Linked DNA regions of Callithrix jacchus. The protein of the gene in region 5 interacts with the protein of the main gene of each other region in a biochemical or structural test. Links are inferred from orthologs where the notes say so. Each region holds a gene or a part of one and is shown on either strand. Other genes may lie near its edges. The genes, in order: KHDRBS1, HOXB6, FOXO3, HOXB7, CREBBP, UBE2I and AIRE.

Region 1 (3,946 bases), on a different chromosome or scaffold from region 5:
TTTATGGGACAAGTAGGAACCTAAGGCTCCACTTGCATATAGCACTCTAGGATGTGGAGAACGCCGTTGAAGATTGTCCACTATGTATGTACCTTGGCCTTGAGAGTAGTGGCAAGGGTCTCTCTAAGCCAGTCTGGAATGGTAGAAGGAGCCATCCTAATGATGCAACCAACGTCGATTAAGGATCTGGTCTCTATCCCACTTTTTGACGGAAAAAACACTTAACTGGCAAGAATGACGGCTAAACAAAACGTTAAGTCACAGAAAGCAGTAAAATATGTAAAAAGAGCTAAAATGCTGCTTCTTTTAAGATTTCCCTGACCAGCAATGGCAACCGTTTTAGAACCGACTGCAATATATGTAATACTGGAAATATATATAACACTAGCAATGACTTCTCGTGTTCCCTGCTGTCTGGGGCCCTTTTCTTTGCTAGACTTCAGGTCTCTGATCCGAACCCTCCCTCTTAGGTCAAGTCCTCCAATTGCTTTTAGTGTTTCCACCAAGCCGTCCTTCTTCAATTTCTCCCTCCAGGTTTCCCTTCCCCATCTCCCCTGCTATTGCTGCGTCAGACTCTCCCTTAGTCTTTCTTTCTCCTTGTGCAGTCTCTGTCTCTCCCCCACCTCTCTTCCTCCCTAGGCAGCCTCAGTTCTCTCTCCCTTCCCTTTCTGGGTCTCCCACCGCAGTCTCCTTTTAGTTTCTCACTTCAGTGACCGCCCCCAAGCTACTCGCCTTACCACCCCACCCCATTGCGCACTAAAATGTCCGTGCCTTTCGGCCGTTGGAGGGCGTGGCCCGGCGAGTAACAGGTCTCCCGCCCCACACTCGGCGGGCCCGCGCGTAGACAAAGACATTCCACAGCCCCCGCCCCCTCCGCCCACTGAACCAGAAGGGGAAGGACCCACGTGTCCCGCTAGCGCCGAGTCACGTGGAAAAGGAAACGAACTGAGCCGGCAGCCTCCCGCGCATGCGCGCCAAATTCTGGCCTGGCGGGCGCGGAGGGAAAGCAGGAGTCGGGAGGCCACTTCTTCGTACGCCGCGGTGGTGCGCAGGCGCCGTGGCTGGACTGGGGACTTTGTTCTCCGCGGAGAAACCCAAGGGCGGTGCCGGTGACTGGCTGCGCACGCGCGCCGCCTCATTTCCGGTGCTCTCTCTCGCTGGGTCGCTAGGGTCGGCTTCGGTCGCTACCGCTCCCGCTCTCCCACCCCCGCCAACCGCCGCCCGGGCCTCCGCCGCTACCGCGTCGCTTTCTCACTCCTTCGATCGCACATCCTCCCCGATGCAGCGCCGGGACGACCCCGCCGCACGCATGAGCCGGTCCTCGGGCCGCAGCGGCTCCATGGACCCTTCAGGTGCCCACCCCTCGGTGCGTCAGACGCCGTCTCGGCAGCCGCCGCTGCCTCACCGGTCCCGGGGAGGCGGAGGGGGATCCCGCGGAGGTGCCCGCGCCTCGCCCGCCACGCAGCCGCCACCGCTGCTGCCGCCTTCGGCCACGGGTCCCGACGCGACAGTGGGCGGGCCAGCTCCGACCCCGCTGCTGCCCCCCTCAGCCACAGCCTCGGTCAAGATGGAGCCGGAGAACAAGTACCTGCCCGAACTCATGGCGGAGAAGGACTCACTCGACCCGTCCTTCACTCACGCCATGCAGCTGCTGACGGCAGGTAAGGGGGCCTCCCGGGTCCCTCTGGGTCGCCCGGCCATCCCAAGGCATGAGTGGCCCTGGCTTTGTTCCTCTCGCCTTCCGCCCCCTCGGGACCGAGGAAGTCGGGAGCTCCGGTCTCATCTTCGTTTTTGGGACCCTGGAGTCCACATTCCCACCTCAGTCTGGAGTGCGAGGGAGAATTTCTAGGCTGCAGTGCAGGCCCGAAGGCGACTTTGCGATCTCCTAGCGCTAACATCTTGATGGATAGTGCTGAGCTCCCCGCCCCTTTCCCGACTCTTCACTCCTCCCTCCTCCTGCGGCTGCCCCGCGCTCCGAGCGCGCAGATTCTTCCAGAAATGAACCTGTATTTCCCCCTTTCCCCGAGGGGGAAGCCTTTTTGATCGCGAGTGGCAATGAGCCCCTCGACCGAGGTGTGGGAGGTGAAGACAGCCAGAACGGGGGAGGGGCCGTGGGAGGAAAGGCCGAGGTGAGGTGGGGTGAGGCTGGAATGCCCTGTCCAGCGCGTCGCTGTCTCTGGGGCCGAGCCGGACTTAGCGGTAACCGCAGCTTAAGTTGCTGGGAGGAAGGAGCGATTTATGGGGATCGGAGCTTGAGGTTTTCGAATCAGATTTCCTACTAAGGCTGATAAAATAAGAATTGCTATACTGAGCTTGAAGGTTGTCTTTAATTTTACACCGTGGGTTCACCATTGAAGAAGGAGTGAAATAACCCTAGAGACGTTGAAATGGGACGATAGGGACTGCCGCGTAGTTCTCATGACGTTTCCCAACGAGATGGACAGAAATTGAGAGAAGTTGCATGATGCTTGTACTGAAAGTCTTGGTCTTTTTGTTGCTTTGTTTTACATATTTTATTCAGTAGTGAAAAAGAAATGAGTCTTTGTTCTGTAGATTAGCGCTCTTTTTCTGATCAGCATTGGCCAATCACCTAGTCGCCCTGATTTTTCCCTAAAGCTGTCTGACCTCCACTTCTAGTTAAAACATTATTTTAATAAATATTTCTTATGATACTTAAATTTTAGTATGCAAGTAAAAATTCCCATCATTCAACACTGAATGAGTGGTTGGACTCTATGGCAAGGTTAATATAATGAACAGTTCGTTATGAAAATATTACCTCCCTCCCTTTGTTCTGTCTCCCAACACTGTAAGTTAAGGGCTCTTTACCAATGTGGTGTTCATCTTTTATGCTTTTTTAAGATAACTGTCAAAAACTATTGACCCTTAAAAGTTCCCTGTAATTTTCAGTCTCCCCTCACTGCTTAACTAAGAGAGCGCTCTTTATTTTTAACTTCTGTTTTCTGGATGAATTTTTTTTTTTTTTCTTTAAACCAAACTGAAATTGGTAAGTGTGTTTGAGGTAATGTTGGTTCACTGAAAGAATGAAATCGGGATGTATGGATTCTTTGTGGCATTGATAAGTGTTAATGTATATTGAGCCTGGCTTTTTATTTTTTCTGAGACAGAGTCTCACTGTCACCCAGGCTGGAATGTAGTGGCGCTATCTTACCTCACTGCAGCCTCCACCTTTCGGGTTCAAGCGATTCTTCTGCCTCAGCCTCCTGAGTAGCTGGGATTACAGGCGAGTGCCACCATGCCTGACTGATTTTTGTATTTTTAGTAGAGATGGGGTTTCACCTCTTGCTCACTCTGGTTTCGAACTCCTGACCTCAGATGATCCGCCCACTTTGGCCTCCCAAAGTTCTGGGATTACAGGCGTAAGACACCACGCCCTGCCAGAGCCTGGCTTTTAAGGTACTTCTGAATTATCTTGCAAAGGAATTGCAGCGAAGTCACAACCCACTGTGAAGAAGTGAGACTTTGAGAAGATAGAATAGTAATATTTAAGTTCTAGTAAGAACAAATGGAAGGGCCAGGCGCCGGTAGCTCACTTGGGGAGGCTGAGGAGGGTGGATCACTTGAGGTCAGAAGTTTGAGACCAACCTGACCACCATGGTGAAACCCCATCTCTATTAAAAATTAAAAATACAAAATGAGCCGGGCATGGTGACACACACCTGTAATCCCAGCTACTTGGGAGGCTGAGGCAAGAGAATCACTTGAACCCGGGAAATGGAGGTTGCAGTGAGCCCACGTCTGACCATTGCACACCACCTGGGCAACAAAAGTGAAACCCTATCTCAAAAAAATAAAATAAAATAAAATAAAAACATGGAAGAAAAATATAGCTATATTTAATGTTTGGTGTCTGAGCACTTTACATTAAATTTTTTTTTTGAGACAGAGTTTTGCTCTTGTTACCCAGGCTGGAGTGCAATGGCAC
Region 2 (4,075 bases), on a different chromosome or scaffold from region 5:
GCCTCTCCGCCCGCTCTCCGCGCCGCCGACAGCAGCCTGGAACCTTCTCCGCAGCACACACACAGAGAGAGAGAAAGAGAGAGAGAGAGAGAGAGAGAGAGAGAGAGAGAGAGAGAGAGAGAGAGAGAGAGAGAGAGAGAGAGAGGGAGAGGGAGAGAAAGAAAGAGAAAATTGGGGCAGGGGAGGTTATTTCGTTTCCTGAATTTGGTCATTGGTAGCTCAAGTTGAAATACGGGGATATTTCAGGGGACCTGGGAAACCTGGGCTGAATTTTTGTTTCATTTTTTGCTTTCAAATACCCGCTGATTGCAGGATCAAGACCTGGAGGGTGGTGTCTATGCAGCTAGAATCGCCGAACTGATTTTTATTCGATTATAAACCCTGAATTATTTAAATTATAAAACAGACTTTGGAAAGAAAGAGGAAAGAGGGTTGGTTTTAGGATGATCTGTTGAATTTGAATTTGTCTGTGAAAGGCTTCTAAACCTGCAATTTCCCCCATTATTGACCACGTAGCCCCCTGGAGAGCGCGGGGAGCTGTCAATAGGGAACCTGGACTTGCCTGCATTTGGGCGGGAGAGGCCAGGATCCGGCTTGACCCTCCCCCAGTTTCTGGGTTTGCGGAGGCGAGAATCTGGTTGTCTGACTGTCAGCCTTTCCTCTTGGGACAAAAACAAAGCCCTAGGGGATCCAAGGCCCCCACGCCCGCAATGCTGCAAGCCTCACAGGTAGGGGTTCTGCCCTCTACAGGGCTAGGAATGAGGGTGCCAGTTCAGCTGGGGAGAGGGAACACCGAAGCTTTCATTTTGCCCACGTGCGGACGGCAATTCTAGACACTAGACACCGGCCTCTGCTCCCGTCTCACCCCAAAATTGCCTCAGAACTGTCCCTCTGCAGAGAATTTGGGGTAGACTTTTATTAGAAGAGGGAGCAGACCTCCTGTGGAAAATAGGGAGGTTCGGAAAAGAACCCTTCCTAGCTGCACCTTTATAGCTTCTCCACTCTGATTCTCTGCCCCCCCAAATCTCACCCCTTCTCAGATTGGGGTTTCCCCAAAAGGAGAGCAGGAGAAGAAAAGAAGATGGCGACTGAGAAAAGGGTTGCTGGTGGAGCAGCCATGAAGAAATGCAATAAATTCCTTGTTGTTTTATGAAAATTTACAACTTTGTGATAGAAGTTTATGAGTGGTTGAATCCAGCGATTGGCCGGCGCCGGTCATGTGGCCAGGCGATCGTGAACATGAACTTTTTATCATTTCCCTGGTGGTTATAATGCAGCATTCTTTTGGACACCACACCTAGGTCGGAGCACTGTCGTCCTTCAGGGCTCCAGCCTCTTGATATTTTTATACTTCAGTATCAGCTCGATAGAGCAAAAGAGAGAGAGGAGAGAGGGGGGTGAGGAGAAAAGAGAGAGAGAGCGAGAGAGGGAGAGGGAGAGCAGGAGGGGTGGGAATTGCACAAAGAGAGAACCAAAAATAATTTTGATTCCTAAGTTAATTTGCTCACTGATCTGGGATTTTAGTCATCATGGAGGGTAAATGGACACTCTGCCTAGGACTGCAGCCTGATACTATTTTTCAAAGACAGAACTTACTCAATTTTCTATGCAAATGTCAGAAAAATGAAACACCCTCTCTCCCAAGTCAGAGAAGGGGAAGCGACGGCTCTCACGTTGGGACAATATTATCTGGAAGCTGAAGAAGAAACTGAATGCTCCTTCTTTCCTCCCTCCCCATTCCTTTCAATCCGGAGGGAAAAAAATCCCAAGGTCTGCAAAGGTAAGGGAGATTCTACAATTTTCTTCGGGTTCTTTTGCATCGCTTTTGTAGGGGGGTGGGGCTTGGGTTTTTCTCCCTCCTCCCCTACTCCAAGACGGGGCTGAACCCCACCTCTGGGCGCTGCAGGGAGAAGCTTCCCAGGAAATTCGGTGGTGGAGAGAGGGGTGGCTGCTTCCTGGAGGGGGAGCCAAGGCAGGGGAATCGGGAAGACGAATCTAAAGAGGGCCAGGAGACAAGCTCTAAGTTGCCCTTTTAAGCTTGGAGGAGAGACTCAAGGGGGCTACGAAAGAGAGGATAGGGGCATCTGGGCTTCAGTGGCACCCAAAGAAGCCAGTCGTTATGGCCTCCGTGGGTTTGCCCCCTCCCCCTCCTGCCATCCCTCCCTTGTCCCAGCCTCTGGCTATTGCCCCCGAGCAGTTCTCTTGCCTGGTGCGGATATCGCCGGGTTCCCGGCTGCATTGGCATGTGGGGTGGTGGCGCTAAGGGACGTCCTGGTCTCTGTAGGGCCTGGAATCTCCGCCAAGGCCGGCGAGGGAGAGGAGGCGGCTAGAGAAACACAGAAAAGACAATTTACATAGAAATGCTCGCTATCTCCCTTCGGAGACGTTTTTGAAATTAAAGGGCTGTGGGTGGAGACACCAAAAATGAGGGAGACCCTCCGCCCCCCCCCCCCAGGAAGCTTGCCCGAGAATGCCCAAATCTCTCGCCACTCACGCAGGAGGGAGCCTCGCTCTGCAGGGAGACAGTTTTGTGGTTTTAATGCGGTAGGTTACAGCTGTTGGTTTCTGCGCTTATCGATTCTATTATTTGCATTGTATTGGTATGGGATGTGTGGATTTCGGTGGAGGAAAAAATTGCCATGTGTGTGTCTGATATGGTAACATTTCAAACTTTCCTGGGTCCAAACATGGTGATTGTGAAAGAGCTGTTAAGTGCGTTTTTGTTTTAGGCTTTTAAATAAAAACAAAAAAGAAAGAAATGTAAGAAGAAAATAAGAAAATCCAGTTATGGAATGGTGTGTAAACTGGAAAGCTAACTGGCACTGAGCTCAGGCAGTCCCGTCCCTCGGGTGTCCAATTTATCTCTCAGTCAGGCCTTCTAGAGGTGTGGGGAGGGCGGAGAACCATTGGGCAAGAGACAGAGATTCCTCAAGTAGCTGGTGGGGAGGAAGTAGAAGCCAGCCTTGAGGCAAGGACTTAAAAATGGGGCAAGGGAGCTTCTGGGGGAAGTTTCCAGCTAAGAGATAAGTGACGTTGGCTGTGGAGGGCAGGAGAGATTGTGATTTAGTTTGGTTTGCACGAACATGTGATTGCTTTTCTCTTTCTTAAGACCAGATATAGGACGTTCAGCCTCGAGCCTCTGGTCGCTCCGGAGTTACAGGGCCTGGGGTGTGTTGGAAGTGGGGGTATATTTATTATTTCAGTCCTAAGCTGGGAGAGGGCCACTTGTGGCGCGGAAGGGGCTCTGGGGTCCAGGGTAGATGCCCTAGTCTCAGGCCCGGCCTGGGCGCCGGGAGGGACCGCTCGGTTTCGTAGCGAGAGTTCTCCGCCAGCACCCACGGCACTAAGGGCTTATTCTCAAGGGATACATTTCCCAAACCCACCCACACTAAAGGTCTTTTTCTCCTGTAGTCTTGGAGGGTTATAAATCCTCCCTTAGACAGTTCACTGGGACCCAAATTATGCGGTTTGCTGCCATCTACCGTCCGTTCGCAGACACGCGGCTTCTGCGCCGCAAACCCCGCGACACTGCCCCAGCAGTGCCCGATGCCTGGAGCCCTGGCCGCGCAGGGTCCAAGGGATTCAGGGGATTTCGGGTCCACACCGACGTTCTCAGCTGGATCTTGATTCCCCGGTGTGGGTTAGAGAACAGAACAAGTCTCTCCTCCACCCATCCTCAATTCCCGACTCTCCCCGCCCCCTCATCCGTACCTCCCACCCCAGCCTCAAACCTGGAGGCTGGGAGGGGAAGGGGAAGGGGCTTCCTCTAGGACATATTTAAAAAGGTCTAATTCTGCATCCAGTGGCCAGGGGCCCTGAACCAAAGGGTGGAGGGATCAGAACCGAGACCCCCACCGCCACCCCCACTCCCACCCCACCAAGGCGCGGGAGAGAATGGGGCCGCTTGAGAGATCCGAAGCCAAGGCTGTTCAAGGTTTATTTGGTTTTCTTCTCAGCCAAGGGAGGGGGCCGGTAGGGAAGGCGCCGGCCGGCAGTTCCACTCGGTTGTCAAAAGACAAACTGGGTCTGTGTTCTCCGGGTTGGCTGGTGGGTCTTGCCAGTTCCTTGGTTGGTG
Region 3 (3,939 bases), on a different chromosome or scaffold from region 5:
GTGACGGGTGCTGCGCAAAGCCCGGAGCCCGGAGGTAGCGGGGCGGGCTGGCTCCTGCGTACGCTGGGCTGGACCTTTGTGTATGGGGGTCATTACAGAGCCCGCTTCTACACTCTGAGCTATCTCCGGTGACTTAGAACTATTTTTTTAAAAAAGATATTTATAAACTACGGTGTCTATACTTTGGGTGTGCATGTCGCGTGTACTGCATTCGTAGAGTACAAATAAACGATTTGGGGCACGGATCGTAGAATAAGGACTTGTGCAGATGTTCTGAGCCTAAAGGAATCCGTCTTTTCTGAAAAGTCAAAAATGCACACTTAGCAGTTTTGTCGTCCTTTACAAATTAGACTAAAATTATTTTTCCCTTCTCCAATCTGCTCATGAATGTAGGACGGGGGTGGGGTTTGCATTTCTTCCGGAGTTAGTTACACCTGTCCCCCGTTTGCTATGAAACCCATGAAAAGTAAAACACAACTGTGGTAGGTGAGAGACTCAGTGTAAACCTTTTGGTGCCCGATCGCATCTGTGAGCATTGGCTTATCAAAGTTGTGCAGGCACCAACATCTTCGCCGTTCAGTATTTCCACGCCGCTGTAACCCTGGTCATCTGCGGTCAGCATCTTATCTCGGGTGTTACCTGGTGTCGAGTTCTAACCGGGAACCGGACACCGTGGTGAGACCAGAGCCGGGCGAGCGGATGCGCAGGCCCGGGACCCGTGGTGCCAGGAGCCCTGCCTGGTTTCGGGGAGGCCAAGCCGCTGCGCTCCTTGGAGCGTCGGGGGCTTCGCGCTCCTGGCGTTCCCTCTTCTCCCTCCTCTCCCCTGTCTTCTTCTCTCGGGCCAGCGCCGCGCTTTGTTGTCGTTGAGGCTCTGGGGAGGGAGGAGCAGCCCAGCGGGAACGACAGCGAGAGCCCGCCGAGTCCCGGCCCTCGGCGCGCGCCCGGACACCCACGCCCGCAGCCCCGTGGACCCGGGTCGCGCAAGCGCGCGCGAGCTCACACTCGCGCACTCACGCACGCCCGCCGCGCGCCCAGCCCGTCGCCCAACCCTCCCCCTGGGCGGGGACCCGCCCGCCGTCAGCTTAGGTTGAGGCGCCCTGCGTGTGTCTATAACTTTGTGCTGCTGCCGCGGCCGCCCTGCTCTTGAAAGGGAGGAGGAGGAATGTGGAAGGCGGCGGCGCGCGAGCTGACAGGCGGTTCTTCGGGCGGGCTGCGGCGACGGCCCGAGCGCTTCTCCTTCGCCGAGGTTGCGCGCCCCCTCCTCGCCGTGCCCCGGGCCCGCGCGGGATCGTGCATCGTCCCGCCGCGTCCCTGAAGGGAAGGAAGCGAGGTAGGCGCCGGAGCCGTGCAGCGGGCGGCCGCCTTCCCGGTGACTCCGGATCTGCTTGCGAGCTGGGCCGGGCTCTTCCCTTTCCCCTCCCCGAGCCGCGGTTTGCGCGCCCCCCGTCTCGCCCGCTAGTGATTTTAAAGGACTCGAGGGAAGGGGGAAACTGTCAAGATGGCAGCAGCGGGAGCAAGGAGGTGATGAACGTGCTGGTCCGGGTTTTCTGGCAGCCCGGGAGACTTGGCGCTTCCCGACCTGTTGGAAGATTTATGTCCCGACTCGCTCCCTCCCCCGGATCCTGACTGGGAAGGGGGCGGAGGGGACGACGTCCGCGAGAATACCAACCACTCAAAACCCCCAAGTGGCCGTCCCCGCCGGGTTCGACCCTCTGCGAACACCCGCCGGGGTGCTGCTCCCCTTCTTTCCGTCTTTCCTTTATTTTTTGGAAGTGACAAGGGTCCATTTGCGCCCAGACCCGCGTTCGTCCTCCGGCCCGCGGGCGAAGAGGGGAGAGGGAGCTGCCCGCGCAGTCCCCGGGCTCGGGCCAGTCGGCTGATTGCGGGGTGACAGGGGGGTCGCGGAGGCGGCAGGGCGGGGAAAGGGGAAAAGAGCCGAAGATCACACAGACTTGAGCGGCAGCGCCGCGGGAGGCACTAGAGCGAGCTGGAGCGAAATATAAACAAACGCACGCACGTCCGAGCTTGGGCTCCGACCGCGGCTCGGCTGCGCCTGCACGGGCCGCTGCCCGCTTTAAAGGCGCGGCCGCCCCTCCCCCGGGTGCCCCTCCCCCTCCTCTCCGCCCCACCGCCTAGTCCGGGAGGGACCTGAGGCTGGGCGGCGGGGGGAGGGGGCTGCCCCGCGCGAGGCCGTCGATTCGCTCGCAGCTCCCCCGCGGCCTGGCCGGGGGGCGGTGTCTGCTGCGCCAGGTTCGCTGGCCGCACGTCTCCAGGTCCGCCTGTTCCTGGTAGGCGGGCGCGGCGCGGCTGGGAGGCGGCAGCTGCGGGCTAGGACTCGCCGAGGACAGGGCTCCGGCCCGGGATAACCAACTCTCCTTCTCTCTCCTCTCGTGCTTCCCCAGGAGGCGGCGGCGGCGCCCGGGAGCCGGAGCCTTCGCGGCGCCCACGTTCCTCCCCCGCCGCACCCCGCCCCGGCGCGAGAGCCCCAGCCGCGGGCTGGCGGGCGAGCGGTGAAGATGGCAGAGGCACCGGCCTCCCCGGCCCCGCTCTCTCCGCTTGAAGTGGAGCTGGACCCGGAGTTCGAGCCCCAGAGCCGGCCGCGTTCCTGTACGTGGCCCCTGCAAAGGCCGGAGCTCCAGGCGAGCCCTGCTAAGCCCTCGGGGGAGACAGCCGCCGACTCCATGATCCCCGAAGAGGAGGACGATGAAGACGACGAGGATGGCGGGGGCCGGGCCAGCTCGGCCATGGCGATCGGCGGTGGCGGGAGCGGCACCCTGGCCTCTGGGCTGCTCCTTGAGGACTCGGCCCGGCTGCTGGCACCGGGAGGGCAAGACCCCGGGTCTGGGCCAGCCCCTGTGGCGGGCGCGCTAAGCGGGGGGATGCAGGCGCCGCTGCAGCCTCAGCAGCCGCTGCCACCGCCGCAGCCGGGGGCGGCTGGGGGCTCCGGGCAGCCGAGGAAATGCTCGTCGCGGCGGAACGCCTGGGGAAACCTGTCCTACGCGGACCTGATCACCCGCGCCATCGAGAGCTCGCCGGACAAACGGCTCACTCTGTCCCAGATCTACGAGTGGATGGTGCGCTGCGTGCCCTACTTCAAGGATAAGGGCGACAGCAACAGCTCGGCCGGCTGGAAGGTGCGTACCCACCCCTGGCTGGCGGCTGGACCCGCCGGGCCTTTTGCGCAGCGCGAGACGCTTCTTGGATTTGTCGGAGCGTGCCTGCGGGCTCCAGGGCAAGCGGGGTTGGCAGGGGGAGCCTCAGCTGTGAGGTTTTGCGGGTTCTCTTTGACCCCCGGAGTAAGGGCACCTGGGGACGGCCTCGGATGGGGGAAAAGAGGCTCCCCACAAGCCTAGGGCATGGCCAGGTGAGGAGAAGGGGGCAGGGGACGCCGGCGAGGGAAGGGCGAACGGACAGGAGTGCTTTTGCTGGATTCTCAGGACAGCGTCGAGGAGGTAGGTCCGCAGCGACTTTGGAGTAGAGTTTACCTTGATGGGGGTCTGTTTCGGGCACTGTGGGTGGAGTGAAGGATGTGGGGGAGTGTTTTGTATGCAATGTCCGGAGGAGGGGTTGGATGTGTGGTTTTTAGTCTGTCACAGGAATATATTGTGTCGTCACTAGCTGAATGAGAACCCTCGGGGTCCAAGTTTCAGCTTGCGGATGTTAACTCCCACAGGCTCATCGATCCCATTAGAAAAAGCAGTGGTTGCAAACCTCTTCCTGGACGGCTTCCTTTCATTGCCTGCAATTGACACCTTTTCTTCTCAGAGATACCACTCCAGTAAACCTGCCCCTGACTAGCTTCTGAAATGTTCTGGGGCCTCGAACCGACTGGCCTGGCCACCTCAATCCAGAGTGGCCGCACCCACTGCTCCTGGAGAGGCCTGGACTCTGGCACTGTTGGAGGGAAGGGCTTGGGTATAGGGGACTAGGGGCCTGTGC
Region 4 (4,257 bases), on a different chromosome or scaffold from region 5:
CAGAACCCTGAGGAGACTTGAAAGAGGTGCTCCTGGGAAGGAAACAGGGGAGGGGGGTTAGGGGCCCTAGTTTGGAGTCACATAAAAGTCAAGCTGAAATGCCTATAAGCAGAAAAATGGGGGCTTTGATAAATCATCTGGAAAGGCAGTTAAACTATGGAGCAGGTAATGGGGTCTATAACCACGAATACTGATGGTGTGAGAGCTGGGCTTCTTCTGGCCCCTGACCATCACTGAGCTGGGTGCCTCTGACAATGAGTCTTGGGTCTTCTGTACTTTGGGGCTAGCCCCCAAGTTCATCTGCTGTGGAACAGCACAGAAAAGAATGTCTGGGCCAGCATTGGCAGAGACCTTATGGAACCTCAGACCCTTGGGGTTCCTGCAGCAGCTCGCTGGGTGAACTACACTCTCTAAGTTTTGATTTGGCTCCAGAGAGTCCTAGCCCCTTCCCGAAGAGGTGAGTCTCTTATCTGGAGTGATATCTCCAAACCTGGCCAGTTTTTTAGGGGTGCCTAGGAACCCTAGGAAGAGCACCTGAGGAAGCTGCAGTCCCATGAGGCTTCTGCCCCTTTCTAGTTTTCCTGTTCCGCTCCCCTACCCAAGTTCATTGGGGTCAGGAGGCTCATCTCTCTTGGTCTCAACCCCCTCCCTCCACCTGCCTCTCTGGCTCTGTGTCCCTGGCTGGGTCCTTTTCTCCTCCCGTCAGGCCTCTAGAGCCCACCACTAATTGAGCTGATGAGAATAATGGGGGAGTGGGGTTCGCTGGAAAGGAAGGGGGAGGGGAGAATTGCTTAGCGCTATGGCCCCCTCCCCCATACCTTATTCGAGCTGGGGTAGGGGGATACACCCAGGGCTGAGATCCTTAGCTAAGAAGGGGGAGGGGGGGAGACCTTAATGGCTATTCTCTGTAAACCCCAGCCTTCCTCCGCAAGCAAACGGCCTCGTCTCCACCCCGTGCCGGCGCTGCTAATAAATATTTAAAGCTAAAAGGCCGAGAGGAAGGGTGGGGGCGGGCTGGGTGCTCGGAGCGCCGTGGCGTCGGCGAAGAGAGACCCGCCGGGAAGCAGAGGGAACCTGAGAGCACCGAGCAAATATGGGGGCGGGGGCGGGGCCGGCCTCCGGCCGGGAGCACTCTGGACGCGGAAAGGGGCGCCCGGCCGGGAAGGGGGCGCCTTCCGAGTAATGTGCTCGGGCCCCTGGGGCTCGGGACAGCTCGGTGCGCGGCGTTACCTGAGCTTCGCATCCAGGGGTAGATCCGGAAGTTACCCTCGGCCGCCAAGTCCGAGTCCCTCTGCTCCTTGGCGCCCGCCGCCTTGGCGGAGTCGCCGGGACACACCCCGGAGAGGTTCTGCTCAAAGGGCGCGCAGTGCATGTTGAAGGAACTCGGCTCAAGCCCGTAGCCGGCCGCGTAGACGCCGGCGGCACTCTGGCCCGCCATGCCCCCCCCGCCGGGGTACAAGCCCTGCATCGAGGCGGCGAAGGAAGCGCCCGAACCCGCTCCATAGCCCGGGCGCTGGGGATTGGAAGCAAATGCACAAGAAGTTTGTTCGGGGAAGGCTCCGGTAGCGAAAACCGAACTTGAGGCTGGATATTTAGAAAATAAAGCATTCGCATAATACAATGAACTCATAATTTGGCCGGATGATTTGTAGGCAGGGACGTTTTAGTGTCGGTTTTACGAGATTCCTTGATATATTACAGAATTAGAGTCCAGATTTACACCAAAAAGGACCCCCTTTTTCCTCTCCGGACCACGTGACCACGCCCACGTGACTTCCCCTCTGCCAATGGGTGGGCTGCCTCCCCACGGCTCCCGGTAATGTGGAAAAAATTGTGTGGCGTTGGATTTATAAAATATGATCAATAATGAATGGGAAAGCCGAGCCCTGTGGATTGGGGCTGGGGGCTCAAGGGCCGCTGCCGACTCCCGCGGGCTGGAGGCAGCTTGCAGGCGAGGTTTGGGAAGGAAGAGATTGAGAGGAAGAGAAAATAAATAACCTCAGGGCGATCCGTGTTGTCACCCCCCTACCCATCCTCTCCAGCCCGTTACCGAGCTAGAGACAAACGCAGGGATTGAATGCATGCAACTGGGAAGGTGGGTGCGTGGGGCAGGTCTGGTCTTTATTAATCCACGCCAATTCTGCATTGCAAGGCCTTTTGGGGAAGTTGTCCGGTTCTCCCAAGACGAGGAATAAGGTGAGCCTGGCTCACGGCTCTGTCTCTCTCTCGGTGCCCCAGATTTGCTGGCGGAGATGAAGCGAGGCTTCCTAGATACTCCTAGGGCACAGGATTCAGCCAATGGGCCTTGGACGCTGCAGTTTCTGGTGGCTAAAAGAAAAAAAAAAAGGTTTCAAAGTAAAAGAAAGAAGGGGGTTGGGTGGTTGGGGAGAGAAAGGAAGGGTGGAGGGTGGCCATGGCGCGCTGCTTTCCCGGTTCCGGAGGCGTATGCCTCAGTGGAGCGTGACTACCACAGAAGCAGAGGCAGCGAAAGAAGGAAGGTGGTGAGCCATGGCCTCAGAACAGAGCGAAGGTGGCCAAGTCCCAGAGAGGGAGAGGCAGGGAAGAGCGGTCTCCCTTCTCCTGCTCCCCCAACAAGAGTCCGAGGGAAAAAAAAAAAATTATGCTCAGCAGGCCTGCACTCCACCTTTATGCGCGCGCGCACACACACACACACACACACACACACACACTCTTCATAGGACTCACAGCAAAACAAAGAGGGAGGTGGCGGGGGACACAGCCACCAGCTCAGGCGCTTGTCTCCAGCGTGGCCTGGGCGCCCTGGTCTCCCAGGCTGGGCAGCCTCGGAACGCAAGAGGAGGGGGTTTCTCTTGGCTCCCCTCCCTCGTTTTTCTCTCCTCCAATCAGGCGCAGCCGCCTCCCTCACCCCCTGCGCCCCTGGGCCGAGGGACTCGCACCACCTGCCTCCAGCCCCCGCCCCCTCCTCTCCGCGGCCTAGCCTCAGCAGGCGCAGGAGCCTGGTGACAGGCTCCCCACCGGCTCTCCAAGGCACCCGGGAGCAAATGAGGAGCGCTGGCCAGGCCAGACTCGGGTTCTTGCTTGTAAACTTTATTGTAACTCTTCCGCCCTTTTGAGGCGCAGACAACAGAACAAAGTATAGAGGAACAACAAAATATATAATTAGCCCTCCCTCCCCCCCCATAAAGCAATTCACGGATACAGGATACATTCTCTTCACAGTAAACCTAAGAACACTTTTAACAATTGCCCACAGCGCGCATGCTAACTAAAGTAATCTCTTTTGAGAAACACTTAAGACAAAATTGTCAAACCAAAGGGGGTGGGTGGAGGAGGAAAAGAGAGAAGCCAGAGAGAAAGCCAGCGAGCTGGGGGGTGCAGAGGGGAGAGAGGAATGGGAGGAGGAATGAGAACGCAGCGAGAGAGAGAGAGAGAGAGAGAGAGAGAGAGAGAGAGAGGAGAGAGAGAGAGGAGAGGAGAGAGAGAGGGAGGAGAGGGAGACAGAATTACGGCGTGAATAGGCAGTTTCATGTTGTTGGGAGAACTTAGCAGAAATCGGTACCTCGGTCATTACAAAGAAGCACGTTCAAAGGAAAAAGACCATTGCACAAGAAGGCTTTTTACAAGGGGTGGGAAGGGGCGTGGGGGGCTCAGCCGGGCCTTGGCCGCTCATCCTCACAGGGCGAGGGAGTCCTTGCTTAAATCCTTTTCTTCCCCCCCCCCGCCCCCAAGAGAAGGGAAGGAGATCCACGGTAGCTCACACACAGAAGCTATTACGAGATACTACCACTAGCGGGGACTGGCGCGGCGGGGGACGCTGCGGTGGGAGGCCCGGCTCCTGGCCCGGCTAGCGGGGCCAGAGCTCTCTCGGGCAGGGGGCAGGCGGCGGCGGCGCGGCCGGGACCCGCGGACGTGCGGGCGGCCGCGGCCCTGGCAGTCCTAGCTGGAGCCTACTTCTTGTCGCCCTTCTGTGCGTCGCCCTCGTCCGCCGCCTCCGGGGCCCTCTCCAGCTTCTGTTTCTCCAGCTCCTCCTGCTCGCATTTGCTGCTGGGGAACTTGTCTTTGTTGTTCTCTTTTTTCCACTTCATCCTCCGGTTCTGGAACCAGATTTTGACCTGTCTCTCTGTCAGTCCCAGCGCGTGCGATACCTCGATTCGTCGCTTGCGAGTCAGATAGGGATTAAATAGGAACTCCTTCTCCAGCTCCAGGGTCTGGTAGCGGCTGTAGGTCTGTCGGCCTCGCCTGCGTCCGGCGGCTGCTGGGAATGGGGGAAAGGGC
Region 5 (3,227 bases):
ACCTGCAACGAGTGCAAGCACCACGTGGAGACGCGCTGGCACTGCACTGTGTGCGAGGTAGGCCCGCAGCCAGCCTGGGAGCTGACGAAGCATCCCGTCCCTTTGCGTGGGTGCTGGGGTCAGTGTCTCTACCTGATGGCGGCTGCGCTGAGTCCTCTGGAACTAGGACAGTATCACAAGGCAGAAGGCATCGCCATGTTTGTGTTTCCTAAACCTGCTCTGTGTAGCCATGTCCACAGGCCTGGCAGTGGGGACAGCCAGAGAAAGGCTTTGCAGGGAAGTCTGTCCTATCTGTGCCCAGTTCTGGTCTTGCTAAATGGCTGGGAACACCCGCTGTCCTCTTGGTAGCTTGGGACCCTCTGGTCCCTTGCATGGGTGTTCCTTGCATGGGCTCAGGCAGGTGACAGACCCCACCATTCCCCTCCCAGGACAGTCACCATCACCTGCCACCCCAGAGCCCACTCGCTTGCTGTGGTGTCTGTAGGCAGGCAGAGCGGTCCTCAGCCGAGCGAGGGCTTCTTCTCTCTCCACCTTCACACGCCTCTCTTCCACACTCCAGCTTTCTCCAGTGTCCTTTGTCCTCTTTCTAGTTTTTGCATGTGGCAGTTTTTACCTCTTTCTGTGAAGGCAGACTTCGTACCTGATTCTAGGGCTCCGTCAGGTTGCCAGGTGCAAGCAGTTTTTAGTAACCGGCTTCTGCATTAGGGAAAGTCCACTGGCACGCCATGGGTAGGGTAGCCCAGGCCTTTCCAGAGGCGCTTCATGGCAACTGTCGGTGCTCTGGGAGGGACCAGCCTCCCTCGGCCTTTCACTGTCAGGTTTCACAGTCCAGGTACAGGAGCAGGACAGGCCATGACGGGGCCAGTGTGACTCCCTGGGCAGAGGAAGCCAAAAGGAAGGGGGCTGGTGTCTACTGTCCATAAACTCACAGGCTGGGAGGTCTCAGGGCATAAGTCTGGTTATCTTTGAGCCTTCAGGGCTATTCCCAGGAGTCAAGGTCTTTGGGAGGAGCATGTACACGGCCCGTGCTCCTGTCCTGTCCATGCTTCCATCCTGTCTGGGTCTCCTGTCTGGTTCTCTTGGCACGGACCCAGACGTAGTGATGGAGGGAAACGGCCAGGGTTCCTGGTGTTGGGCCCCGTGCTGACACCAGCCTGTCCCCTTTTCTCGCTTCCAGGACTACGACCTCTGCATCAACTGCTATAACACGAAGAGCCATGCCCATAAGATGGTGAAGTGGGGGCTGGGTCTGGACGACGAGGGCAGCAGCCAGGGCGAGCCACAGTCAAAGAGCCCCCAGGAGTCCCGCCGGCTGAGCATCCAGCGCTGCATCCAGTCTCTGGTGCACGCATGCCAGTGCCGCAACGCCAACTGCTCGCTGCCATCCTGCCAGAAGATGAAGCGGGTGGTGCAGCACACCAAGGGCTGTAAGCGCAAGACCAATGGGGGCTGCCCGGTGTGTAAGCAGCTCATCGCCCTCTGCTGCTACCACGCCAAGCACTGCCAAGAAAACAAATGCCCCGTGCCCTTCTGCCTCAACATCAAACACAAGCTCCGCCAGCAGCAGATCCAGCACCGCCTGCAGCAGGCCCAGCTCATGCGCCGGCGGATGGCCACCATGAACACCCGCAACGTGCCTCAGCAGAGTCTGCCTTCTCCTACCTCAGCACCACCTGGGACCCCCACGCAGCAGCCCAGCACACCCCAGACGCCGCAGCCCCCTGCCCAGCCCCAGCCCTCACCCGTGAGCATGTCACCAGCTGGCTTCCCCAGCGTGGCCCGGACTCAGCCCCCCACCACGGTGTCTGCAGGGAAGCCCACCAGCCAGGTGCCAGCACCCCCGCCCCCGGCCCAGCCCCCACCTGCAGCGGTGGAAGCGGCTCGGCAGATCGAGCGTGAGGCCCAGCAGCAGCAGCACCTGTACCGGGTGAACATCAACAATGGCATGCCCCCAGGACGCACGGGCATGGGGACCCCAGGAAGCCAGATGGCCCCTGTGAGCCTGAACGTGCCCCGACCCAACCAGGTGAGCGGGCCTGTCATGCCCAGCATGCCTCCCGGCCAGTGGCAACAGGCACCCCTTCCCCAGCAGCAGCCGATGCCAGGCATGCCCAGGCCTGTGATGTCCATGCAGGCCCAGGCAGCTGTAGCCGGGCCCCGGATGCCCAGCGTGCAGCCACCCAGAAGCATCTCCCCCAGCGCCCTGCAAGACCTGCTGCGGACCCTGAAGTCACCCAGCTCCCCTCAGCAGCAGCAGCAGGTGCTGAACATTCTCAAGTCAAACCCGCAGCTAATGGCAGCTTTCATCAAACAGCGCACAGCCAAGTATGTGGCCAATCAGCCCGGCCTCCAGCCCCAGCCCGGCCTCCAGCCCCAGCCCGGCATGCAGCCCCAGCCCGGCATGCAGCCCCAGCCTGGCATACACCAGCAGCCCAGCCTACAGAACCTGAACGCCATGCAGGCTGGCGTGCCACGGCCCGGTGTGCCTCCACAGCAGCAGGCAATGGGAGGCCTGAACCCCCAGGGCCAGGCCCTGAACATCATGAACCCAGGACACAACCCCAACATGGCGAGTATGAATCCACAGTACCGAGAAATGTTACGGAGGCAGCTGCTGCAGCAGCAGCAACAGCAGCAACAGCAGCAGCAGCAACAGCAGCAGCAGCAGCAGCAAGGGAATGCTGGCATGGCTGGGGGCATGGCAGGGCACGGCCAGTTCCAGCAGCCTCAAGGACCTGGAGGCTACCCGCCAGCCATGCAGCAGCAGCAGCGCATGCCACAGCATCTCCCCCTCCAGGGCAGCTCCATAGGCCAGATGGCGGCCCAGATGGGACAGCTCAGCCAGATGGGGCAGCCAGGGATGGGGGCAGACAGCACCCCCAACATCCAGCAAGCCCTGCAGCAGCGGATTCTGCAGCAACAGCAGATGAAGCAGCAGATTGGGTCCCCAGGCCAGCCGAATCCCATGAGCCCCCAGCAACACATGCTCTCAGGACAGCCACAGGCCTCGCATCTTCCTGGCCAGCAGATCGCCACATCCCTTAGTAACCAGGTGCGGTCTCCAGCCCCTGTCCAGTCTCCTCGGCCCCAGTCCCAGCCTCCACATTCCAGCCCGTCACCACGGATACAGCCCCAGCCTTCGCCACACCACGTCTCACCCCAGACTGGTTCCCCCCACCCCGGACTCGCAGTTACTATGGCCAGCTCCATAGATCAGGGACACCTGG
Region 6 (3,983 bases), about 2.3 Mb from region 5:
CAGGGCACCAGGGTTCCGGAAGCCGGGCAGGGTTGCTAGAGCCGCGTGCCCTGCAGGGGGATTTGGTTCATTTTCACCAAACACGGGTTCTCATGGTAGTCCGAGAAAAAGCAGGCAGAGGAACCTGGGTCCTCCAGTCAGCAGGCGCTGGTGGCACTGGGAGAGAGTGACAGGGGCCACTGGGCCCTGGCCTCCAGCTCCACGACTAAGTCCAAGACAGGCAGCCGGGGCTGGAGGCAGCCACGGACTGGGCCCCACTGGGATGTCCTTCCCCACATCTTCCTCACTGAGACGCAGAGGGTCCACAGGCCACCTGCCCTCCTGACCGCTTGCCCTTCCCCACACCCTCCTCTAAGTCGGGAGAAAGTGGGGGAGGACACAGCTGGGCCGAGCTGGGGGCAGGCAGGGTATGGGTCCCAAGCAGGCTGGAGTGCTCGCCAACCACGGTTTCAAGGTTCTCTCTGCACTGGCTGGGGTCTGAAACTCCACACCCCAGCCGGTGTGGAGTTTTCTCCACCTTCCCCTTCCATTGGCTCTTCCACATGGAGTAGCCCAGCACCACCTTGGTACCGGCGGCCTGAGAACTCAGGGGCTCTTGCTTCCCCAGCCCCAGGGAGGAGTCTCTGAGTGGCTGCAACCTGTGCCCTGTGCAGTGCATAGCAGCCTGGCGAGTGGCTGTTTCACGAAGGCGCCAGCTCCCAGGTGCCCATGGTCTGAGCGGGGCCAGGCATCAGACGGGCCTCTGAAGCCCCAGACCAGCGCTCCAGTCACTGAAGGACCATGGGCACCGATGCTCACAGCCAGGCAAGACCAGGCCATGGAGAGGCCAGCAGGCCTGGGACTCTGCCACAGGTGGCCTTCCTGCTGAGGACTGGACAGGGCCGCCCAGAGGCCGTGCTCAGCCCCCAGCTATTGTTGCCTCAGGTGTGAGAAGTCATGAGGGTGGTCCTGCCAAACCTCCTGCCAAGACCGGGCTGCTGCCGCTGTGCCGCCAGCCCCAAAGCACTCAGCACCAGGCGGGGGTCGTACAGGACACTCTACCATCAGGGCAGGGAGCCACAGGTGCACACCCACCCATCCTAGGCAGAAGCCAGGCCTGGCCTCCAAGATCCCTGCTCCCCCTCCTGCTGGCCTGCCCACTGGAGAAAGTGGCCCATCTGTTACAATGTAATCACAACACAGACCCAGCATTCAAAAATCCCACTGAAAACTGAATCCATCCTCCCCAACTAACAGATAGGCACTTAGTGAACAGCTAGGAGTCACTAAGGGCTTCAAAACAGGAAACTTTTACGCTACAAACACAAAAACAACTCTTCTGTCAGCGCCAGGCAAGGCCCAGACACCGGCAGCAACGGGACCTCTGGGCCGGGCACTCCAGGAGCTGCCCGAAAGTCTGCCGCCTGCCCTCCCACAGGGCACACGCAGAGGGCTGAGCTTGAGCATGTCCGATCACCACCTGGCTCTGCTGGCCGACTGCACCCACTTCAGAGCAACTTCCTGGCTGAGGGTGAGCAAAGCGCCCATCTCCCACAGTGCCGCCCACAGCTCCGCAGCCCTCATCACCAGAACAGGTGGGCGCCCCGACAGGCTCGCACCTGAAGCCCTCAAAGGTCCTCCTGCACCCAAATGCACACTCTCCCAGGCCCGGGAGGATGTTCCCTTCTGCACGACCCGGGCACCTGCAGTCGGGACACGCTCACCTGGCCGCACCTGACCTGTCTGTCCCAGGCCCCCGGGCTGTTTCCGCAGCGAGATCCCAAACCCCGGGACACCTGCAGCCACCCAACAGCCTAGGGAAGGGACCTCTTTGTGAGCCCCCAGGGCAAACTGAGGGTCCTTCCTGTGTTCTCTCCGCTAGGTTCTCTACCCAAAGGCAACGTTTCTTTAAAGAGCAAGAAACGGGTGGGGTGAGTCCTAGGGAGAAAACCGACGAAATCCCCCAAGACTCCGCGGACAGAGGAACTAAACGTGACTCCCGACTCCACACCCCGAACCACTTCGTCCTGCGCTTCGCGCCTGACCGCAGGCCACGACCACAAGCCCAGCGCGTCACCCCGCACCTGCCTCCTACGGCCCCAACTTCCAGAGCCAACCACGATTCAACCGGTACAAAGCGGCCCGAGACCGGACCAAACTCCCACCAGCGGCGCCGGCGGGGCGTCTTCAGCGGCGCGAGAGAACTTGGACGCGTTTCGGTTTGAAGGCCCCGAAGAGCCGCCCGCCCGCCCGCCGGCCCCCACCCGCGCGAGTCAGCGCTGTTGCAATCCGCGGCTCTCCCCCCGGAGGCCCATCCTCGTCGTCCGCGGGCGACCGTGACCCCGGAAGCCGCTCGCCGCGGAGGAGGAAGGCGCGGCCTCGCGGGGCCCCGGCTGCAGGTGGCTGCCCCGGCCCCGCGCCAGGCGCACCTCGAGGGCGAAGTGGGGGAGCCCCGGCCCCGAGGGCCTACGGCGAACCGGGCGCTCGGGCTACAGCCCCGCGACGCCAGCACCGCGGGCCGGGCCGGCGTCGAGCGCGGGGCCTCTCTGGGAAGCTCGGCCGCGACGCGGGGCCCGGGCTCGGCGGGGCGGGGCGCGGGGCAGCCGGGGGCCCGGGCCCGACAGCGCTGGAGGCCTTAGCCCGCCCCCGCCCCGCGGCCCCGGCCCGGCCCCCGCCCGCGCTCACCTCGGGCGGCCGCGGCCCCGGCGAGCGTCGCGGACAGGCGGAGGACCGAGCGGGGCGGCGGCGGCGGCGCTTCCCTTTGTCTCGGGACTTCCCTCCGGAGCCCGCTCCGCGCGCAGCCCGAGCAGCTCCGAGGACCCTGGGGCGGGCGGGGCGCGCGAGGCGGGGCCTGGCGCGGGGCTGCCCTCCGCAAGCCTGCCTCGCGCGCCGCCGCCGCCGTCCCGCCCCGAGTGCTGCCCGCGCCACCACCCGCCCCCCGCCGCCCGGGCCCCGCCACCGCGCGCCCGCGACCCGGGTCCGCCCCAGGAGCCCGGTCGGGGGGCGACTTTCCAGTCAGGCGGCGCCCTGGACACCTACACCCTTAAAGGAGCCGCGTCCCCGATGTGAGGGAGCGTCTGCAAACTCCCCTTCGGGGCGCCCGCGTCCATCCGAGGACGCGCCGGCGAGCAGCGGGGGCAAAAGGAGGCCGAGAACTCCAAAAGCTCCCTGGATACCCGGAAGTCACCTCTCCAGGCACACGTCCCGGAGGTTTCCTTGGGGTCAGGGCCTGGGGTCTGGGGGCAAAGACCACTGAGGCCTAAGGATACCCTGAAGCGTCGCAGGACGGTGACGCTCCCGCTAGTTTAGCGCCCTGTGAAACCTCTTGCAATTGGCCAGTTCGGGGCGGCGGGCGGGGAAATCTTCTCATCCGCCCAATGAGCTGACCCGGTACAAAAGGCCGAATGCGCGCATGACCGACGGGAGGAGAAGTGAGGATGTTCCCTAACCTGGGGGCGGACCCTGGGCGGGGGCGGGGCGCGGGGCCTGCGAGCGGCGGGGGCGGGGCGGGCCCGTGGGGGAGGGGCGCTTCCCGGCCCCACCCCCACTCCCATCCCCGCGCCAACCGCGGGGACCGGGTCGGGAGGCCCCCAGCCCCGCGAGCGCGCTGGACGCTCCGCCAACGCGCGGCTGTGCTGGCCCCGGGCTCTCCTGGCCCGCCCACCCCCATTTCGCCGACGGCGGGGTCGCTGCCAAGGTCACTGTGTCCGGGCGCTTGGGGACCACGGGGAATGACCGCATTCTTTCATTCCCTCCCTCACTGACTCATTCATTCATTCATTCATTCCTTTACTCGCTCACTCATTCCTTCACTTCCTCAATCATTTCCTCCCTCATTCATTCTCTCCCTCATTCACTCATTCCCACCCTCACTCATTCCCTCCCTCACTCATTCCCTGCCTCACCCATTCCCTCCCTCACTCATTCCCTCCCTCACTCATTCCCTCCCTCACTCATTCCCTCCCTCACTCATTTCCTCCCTCACTCATTTCCTCTCTCCCTCA
Region 7 (4,184 bases), on a different chromosome or scaffold from region 5:
CCCACCTTCCTCCCCAGATTTGTTATCAGGCACCCCTGGAGTCTTTTCTGGAGGAATCTCAGCACGTGCAGAACATTCAGGGGGACACTGGGGCTGGAGGCAGAAGCAGAAATCGAGACCGAGCCCTGGTCCTGAGGAGAGGTGCCTGCTGCTCCCCATCCCGGACTCTGGCTGCCCAACGACCTATGGCACATCTGCCCACGCGGGAATCATCTCTTACTGCGTCAGTCACCTCAGCCCAGTGCTGCCCAGATTCAGGCTTCCTGGTACCTTTGTCACTCTTCAACCCTGACCCATGCTGGGCAGGTCGCTTCCTTCTCAGGCTCGGGGGGAGCAATGTGCCCAGAGTCCTTCGTGGGTCTCTGCAGCCTGCACACAGGGCCTGCCTCGCCGGCTTGACCGGACAGACAAGGGGTCTGTGTCACCAAGGCCTCCCGCTGAGGCCAGCCCCTTCGAGGCCATGCCCGCATCCTTGCAGGCCCCAGACCTCTGCACCTGCTCCTGCTTTACTGGGGGCACTGTCCCCACCCACGTCCACCTGGGACCCTCGACTCCTGTCCATGGCAGCTCCTCTCTGGGATGTCTTCCCAGATGCCCCCGAAGCTCCTGTCCAAGCTGCAGTGTCCCTCAGCCTGTGTCACTGGTCCTAGGAAGACCCCTCGGGAGCTCACACTCAGGGCCACCCTCAGAGCCTCCACCATGGGGCCAGTTGCTTTCCTTCTAAAGCACCTGGGGGAAGGAAGTAGGGGGTCAGTGGGAACCTCCATCCCCAGGCAAATACACCCCTTTTGAAGACGAGGGAACTGAAGCTCAGAGAAGGAAAGGACTTGGCTGGCGTCACACAGCCAGCCTAGGGTGGCGAAGTCAGGAGCCTCTTCGGCATCGCCCAGGGCTGCCTAGGGCGGGACACCAACCCTACAGTCTCCTCCATCAGACTGGGACCCTGCATCAGGCTCCTCCCACAGCCCCAGGTGGGCCTCCAAGTGGGGCTCTCAGCTTGTGTGGAGGTACCCCAGGGAGCCACCCCAATCCAGCCTCCATGGAGGCTCTTGCAGGCCACTTGGAGGGGCCAGTGCACCCTGACAGCCCGTCAGGCCCCTGAGCACCGAGCCTCCCCAGTGCACCTGTCCCGCTTTTGCCCCATTCCAGCAGGAACCTTGGGGAGGCAGGACCAGGACACATTCGGAAGCCAGAGGCCTCTGAGCCCCGCCCAGAGCAAGTCTCAGTCCCCAGCCCCCAAGGCAGCTGCCCCTGTGGGTGAGTCAGGCTGGGCGAGACTTCCCAGGAGCGGGCGGGCGAGCAGCGCCTCCATCACACGGAAGCGTCCCCGCCGCAGGGAGGCCGAGGCTCTGGCCCTGATTGGGCACCGGGCGGAGCTGCCTTTGCGCTTTGCGTGGTCGCCGCGGTATAACAGGGGTGCGCGGGGCTGCAGGCGGGGGACACGGGTGCACAGCGGGCGCGGACGCCCCACAGGCCCGCCGGGACCCGAGGCGAGGAGAGGGGCTGCCAGCATCCCGGGACCCCCGCCCAGCCCCAAGCAGACCCCATGGCGGACGCGGTGCTGCGCCGGCTCCTGAGGCTGCACCGCACGGAGATCGCGGTGGCGGTGGACAGCGCCTTCCCCCTGCTGCACGCGCTGGCCGACCACGACGTGGTCCCCGAGGACAAGTTCCAGGTGGGCCCCCGCCCTCCCCTGCCCCAGGCCCTGCGAGTCAGGGGCAGTCCCTGGGGAAGTTCCAGGAGGACCCCGCCTGGAGCCTCCCAGTCCCTCCAGTCCCCCCAGGCCCGTCAGGGTGGCTCAGGCCTGTAATCCCAGCACTTTGGGAGGCCGAAGCGGGTGAATCACCTGAGGTTTGGAGTTCGAGACCAGCCTGACCAACATGTAGAAATCTCATCTCTACTAAAAATATAAAATTAGCTGGGCGTGGTCGCAGGAGCCTGTAATCCCAGCTACTTGGAAAGCTGAGGAAGGAGAATCACTTAAACCCGGGAGGCGGAGGTTGTATGAGCAGAGATCACACCATTGCACTCCAGCCTGGGCAACAAGAGTGAAACTCCATCTCAAAAAAAAAGGCCAAGTGCAGTGATTCACACCTGTAATCCCAGCACTCTGAGAGGCCGAGGCGGGCGGATCACCTGAAGTCAGGAGTTTGAGACCAGGCTGACCAACATGGAGAAACCCCATCTCTATCGAAAATACAAAAAAAACTTAGCTGGGCATGGTGGCACATGCCTATAATCTTAGTTACTCAGGAGGCTGAGGCGGGAGAATTGCTTACCCAGGAGGCGGAGGTTGCAGTGAGCGGAGATCGCGCCATTGCACTCCAGCCTGGGCAACAAGAGCAAAACTCTGTCTCAAAAAAAAAAAAGTTGGCTCTCTTCCCCCAGATATCCCCACACTTCACCCCCAAGCCAAAGGAATGGCCTCCAGGACGCTTCCTTACCCCCACCCTCAACACCCTGAGCTACCACCTGACCCCACCACAAGCTGAGGAGATGGACGTGGAGGTGCCCTGGTCTCCAGTGCCTCTGCTGGGAGCGCCCCCCTCTAGTCACAGTGGTGACAGGCAGGCCGCGGGGTGTGGGTGAGCATGGCAGGGACCCTCATGCCACCCACTGCAGGAGACGCTTCGTCTGAAGGAGAAGGAGGGCTGCCCTCAGGCCTTCCACGCCCTCCTGTCCTGGCTGCTGACCCAGGACTCCGCAGCCATCCTGGACTTCTGGAAGGTTCTGTTCAAGGACTACAACCTGCAGCGCTACGGCCGGCTGCAGCCCATCCTCGACAGCTTCCCCAGAGGTGGGTGCCGGGGGGCCTGGATGCCGGGGGGCCTGGGGCAGCTGCTGCCACCAGCTCAGCCCAGCTAGACTGGAGCTGGAGTGGTGTTTGGGGAGCCTGTGGGTGATGCCCCAGGATGGGCTTGGATCCCAAGAGGCAAAGGGCCCAGGCCTCGCCCACGTGACCACGGTGTCCAGTTCTGGGGCCCAGCCTCCCCTGCAGAAAACTCTTCTCCTGCTTCTGCCCCTGAGCTGCAGATGTGGACCTCAGCCAGCCCCGGAAGGGGAGGAAGCCCCCGGCCATCCCCAAGGCTTTGGTGCCACCACCCAGGCTCCCCACCAAGAGGAAGGCCTCAGAAGAGGCTCGAGCTGCCACGCCAGCAGCCCTGACTCCAAGGGCCACCTCCAGCCCAGGTACCCAGCAGGGGAAGCCAGCTGAGGGCTCCAGTCTTCCCCGGGAGCCTGCGCCCCCTCCCCACCCGGGCTCCCACTCACTGGGATGGAGCCAGCCTGCCTGGGGCTGTGGAGGTCCCCTCTGGGTACTAGACCCACACACTGGACCAGCCTCTCAGCTCCTTCCTGCCCAAAGACTGAGCTCCCCAGGGCTGGCGAAGTAGGCACATGGGTTTTATTTGCTTTCTACTGAGGGGAAACCAGAGCCCCGCAAAGGGAAGGACCCACGGGAGGCTGGGATACCCAGGACTGGACCCCACTCCACACCCTCCCACCTCGGGGCCCCACCCACCAGCACTTACCCCCACCGAGAGGGAGGCCAGGCTGCCCCAGCTCCCCTATTCAGGATCTCAACTGAAGGCCAAGCCCCCCAGGAAGCCGGAGAGCAGCGCAGAGCAGCAGCGCCTTCCGCTTGGGAATGGTGAGCAGGGCCCAGCGGGAGTGCCTCCCTTCTCCCTGGCCAGGGGCAAGGGGTCAGGGGTCAGAGCAGGGCCTGCCCTCTGAGGGCCTGTCCTGGGGACTGGGCACGTGCTGGCCTGGCGTGCAAGGGCCATCCCAAGGGCCAGACCCAGGAAGGGGACACCCTGGCTCCAAGCATGACCTTGCCAGTCCCCTCCGCCCCCACTGCACCCGGTTCTGGGACCCCCTTCTCAGGAACCTCTGCCCGTCCATTCCCTATTCTTCAGGACAAGTCCAGACACTGCTTCCTCCAGAAAATCATCCCTGGCCCCCAGCTGCATGCAGACGGGACCCCTCCCATTTCCCTCTCATTACTTCCAGAGACACCCTGTGCCCACTGCTGTCCTCCCTGAGGGCAGAGACTAGGAACTCTGTGTCCCTCCCAGCACAACACAGGGCCCATGTCATGGGGGGCCTGGTCATTCGTCATTCCTTCCTATCCATGTGCCAGCTGTGCTGACAGTGCCCCCCCAGCACACACACACGAGCACACATGA

What was found.
Region 1: the proteins of CREBBP (region 5) and KHDRBS1 form a complex in vitro, tested with the Homo sapiens proteins (2 studies listed by BioGRID, with this or other methods). The link is inferred for Callithrix jacchus from reciprocal best matches to the Homo sapiens genes CREBBP and KHDRBS1.
Region 2: the proteins of CREBBP (region 5) and HOXB6 form a complex in vitro, tested with the Homo sapiens proteins (2 studies listed by BioGRID). The link is inferred for Callithrix jacchus from reciprocal best matches to the Homo sapiens genes CREBBP and HOXB6.
Region 3: the proteins of CREBBP (region 5) and FOXO3 are reported together in a solved structure, tested with the Homo sapiens proteins (2 studies listed by BioGRID, with this or other methods). The link is inferred for Callithrix jacchus from reciprocal best matches to the Homo sapiens genes CREBBP and FOXO3.
Region 4: the proteins of CREBBP (region 5) and HOXB7 form a complex in vitro, tested with the Homo sapiens proteins (2 studies listed by BioGRID). The link is inferred for Callithrix jacchus from reciprocal best matches to the Homo sapiens genes CREBBP and HOXB7.
Region 6: the proteins of CREBBP (region 5) and UBE2I form a complex in vitro, tested with the Homo sapiens proteins (2 studies listed by BioGRID, with this or other methods). The link is inferred for Callithrix jacchus from reciprocal best matches to the Homo sapiens genes CREBBP and UBE2I.
Region 7: the proteins of CREBBP (region 5) and AIRE interact in far-western blotting, tested with the Homo sapiens proteins (2 studies listed by BioGRID). The link is inferred for Callithrix jacchus from reciprocal best matches to the Homo sapiens genes CREBBP and AIRE.

What each region holds. Positions count from the first base shown.
Region 1 is NC_133508.1:68,627,234-68,631,179, forward strand, and holds the start of KHDRBS1 (KH domain-containing, RNA-binding, signal transduction-associated protein 1), read left to right. Parts: upstream 1-1,146; 5' UTR 1,147-1,279; coding exon 1,280-1,661; intron 1,662-3,946. UniProt on the Homo sapiens protein: Recruited and tyrosine phosphorylated by several receptor systems, for example the T-cell, leptin and insulin receptors. Once phosphorylated, functions as an adapter protein in signal transduction cascades by binding to SH2 and SH3 domain-containing proteins.
Region 2 is NC_133506.1:117,671,836-117,675,910, forward strand, and holds the start of HOXB6 (homeobox protein Hox-B6), read left to right. Parts: upstream 1-1,275; 5' UTR 1,276-1,780; intron 1,781-2,206; exon of another isoform or gene 2,207-2,326; intron 2,327-4,075. UniProt on the Homo sapiens protein: Sequence-specific transcription factor which is part of a developmental regulatory system that provides cells with specific positional identities on the anterior-posterior axis.
Region 3 is NC_133505.1:114,678,106-114,682,044, forward strand, and holds the start of FOXO3 (forkhead box protein O3), read left to right. Parts: upstream 1-1,139; 5' UTR 1,140-1,521; intron 1,522-2,160; exon of another isoform or gene 2,161-2,288; intron 2,289-2,402; 5' UTR 2,403-2,516; coding exon 2,517-3,134; exon of another isoform or gene 3,135-3,452; intron 3,453-3,493; exon of another isoform or gene 3,494-3,939. UniProt on the Homo sapiens protein: Transcriptional activator that recognizes and binds to the DNA sequence 5'-[AG]TAAA[TC]A-3' and regulates different processes, such as apoptosis and autophagy.
Region 4 is NC_133506.1:117,664,927-117,669,183, reverse strand, and holds the start of HOXB7 (homeobox protein Hox-B7), read right to left. Parts: upstream 2,801-4,257; 5' UTR 2,707-2,800; intron 2,329-2,706; 5' UTR 1,631-2,328; coding exon 1,231-1,630; intron 1-1,230. Other genes in the region: HOXB8 (homeobox protein Hox-B8), read right to left, coding at 3,930-4,237. UniProt on the Homo sapiens protein: Sequence-specific transcription factor which is part of a developmental regulatory system that provides cells with specific positional identities on the anterior-posterior axis.
Region 5 is NC_133513.1:5,839,910-5,843,136, reverse strand, and holds part of CREBBP (CREB-binding protein), read left to right. Parts: coding exon 1-57; intron 58-1,177; coding exon 1,178-3,227. UniProt on the Homo sapiens protein: Acetylates histones, giving a specific tag for transcriptional activation. Mediates acetylation of histone H3 at 'Lys-18' and 'Lys-27' (H3K18ac and H3K27ac, respectively).
Region 6 is NC_133513.1:3,564,923-3,568,905, reverse strand, and holds the start of UBE2I (SUMO-conjugating enzyme UBC9), read right to left. Parts: upstream 2,801-3,983; 5' UTR 2,665-2,800; intron 2,335-2,664; exon of another isoform or gene 2,068-2,334; intron 1-2,067. UniProt on the Homo sapiens protein: Accepts the ubiquitin-like proteins SUMO1, SUMO2, SUMO3, SUMO4 and SUMO1P1/SUMO5 from the UBLE1A-UBLE1B E1 complex and catalyzes their covalent attachment to other proteins with the help of an E3 ligase such as RANBP2, CBX4 and ZNF451.
Region 7 is NC_133522.1:49,948,119-49,952,302, forward strand, and holds the start of AIRE (autoimmune regulator), read left to right. Parts: upstream 1-1,384; 5' UTR 1,385-1,546; coding exon 1,547-1,675; intron 1,676-2,622; coding exon 2,623-2,797; intron 2,798-3,033; coding exon 3,034-3,189; intron 3,190-3,523; coding exon 3,524-3,649; intron 3,650-4,184. UniProt on the Homo sapiens protein: Transcription factor playing an essential role to promote self-tolerance in the thymus by regulating the expression of a wide array of self-antigens that have the commonality of being tissue-restricted in their expression pattern in the periphery, called tissue restricted antigens (TRA).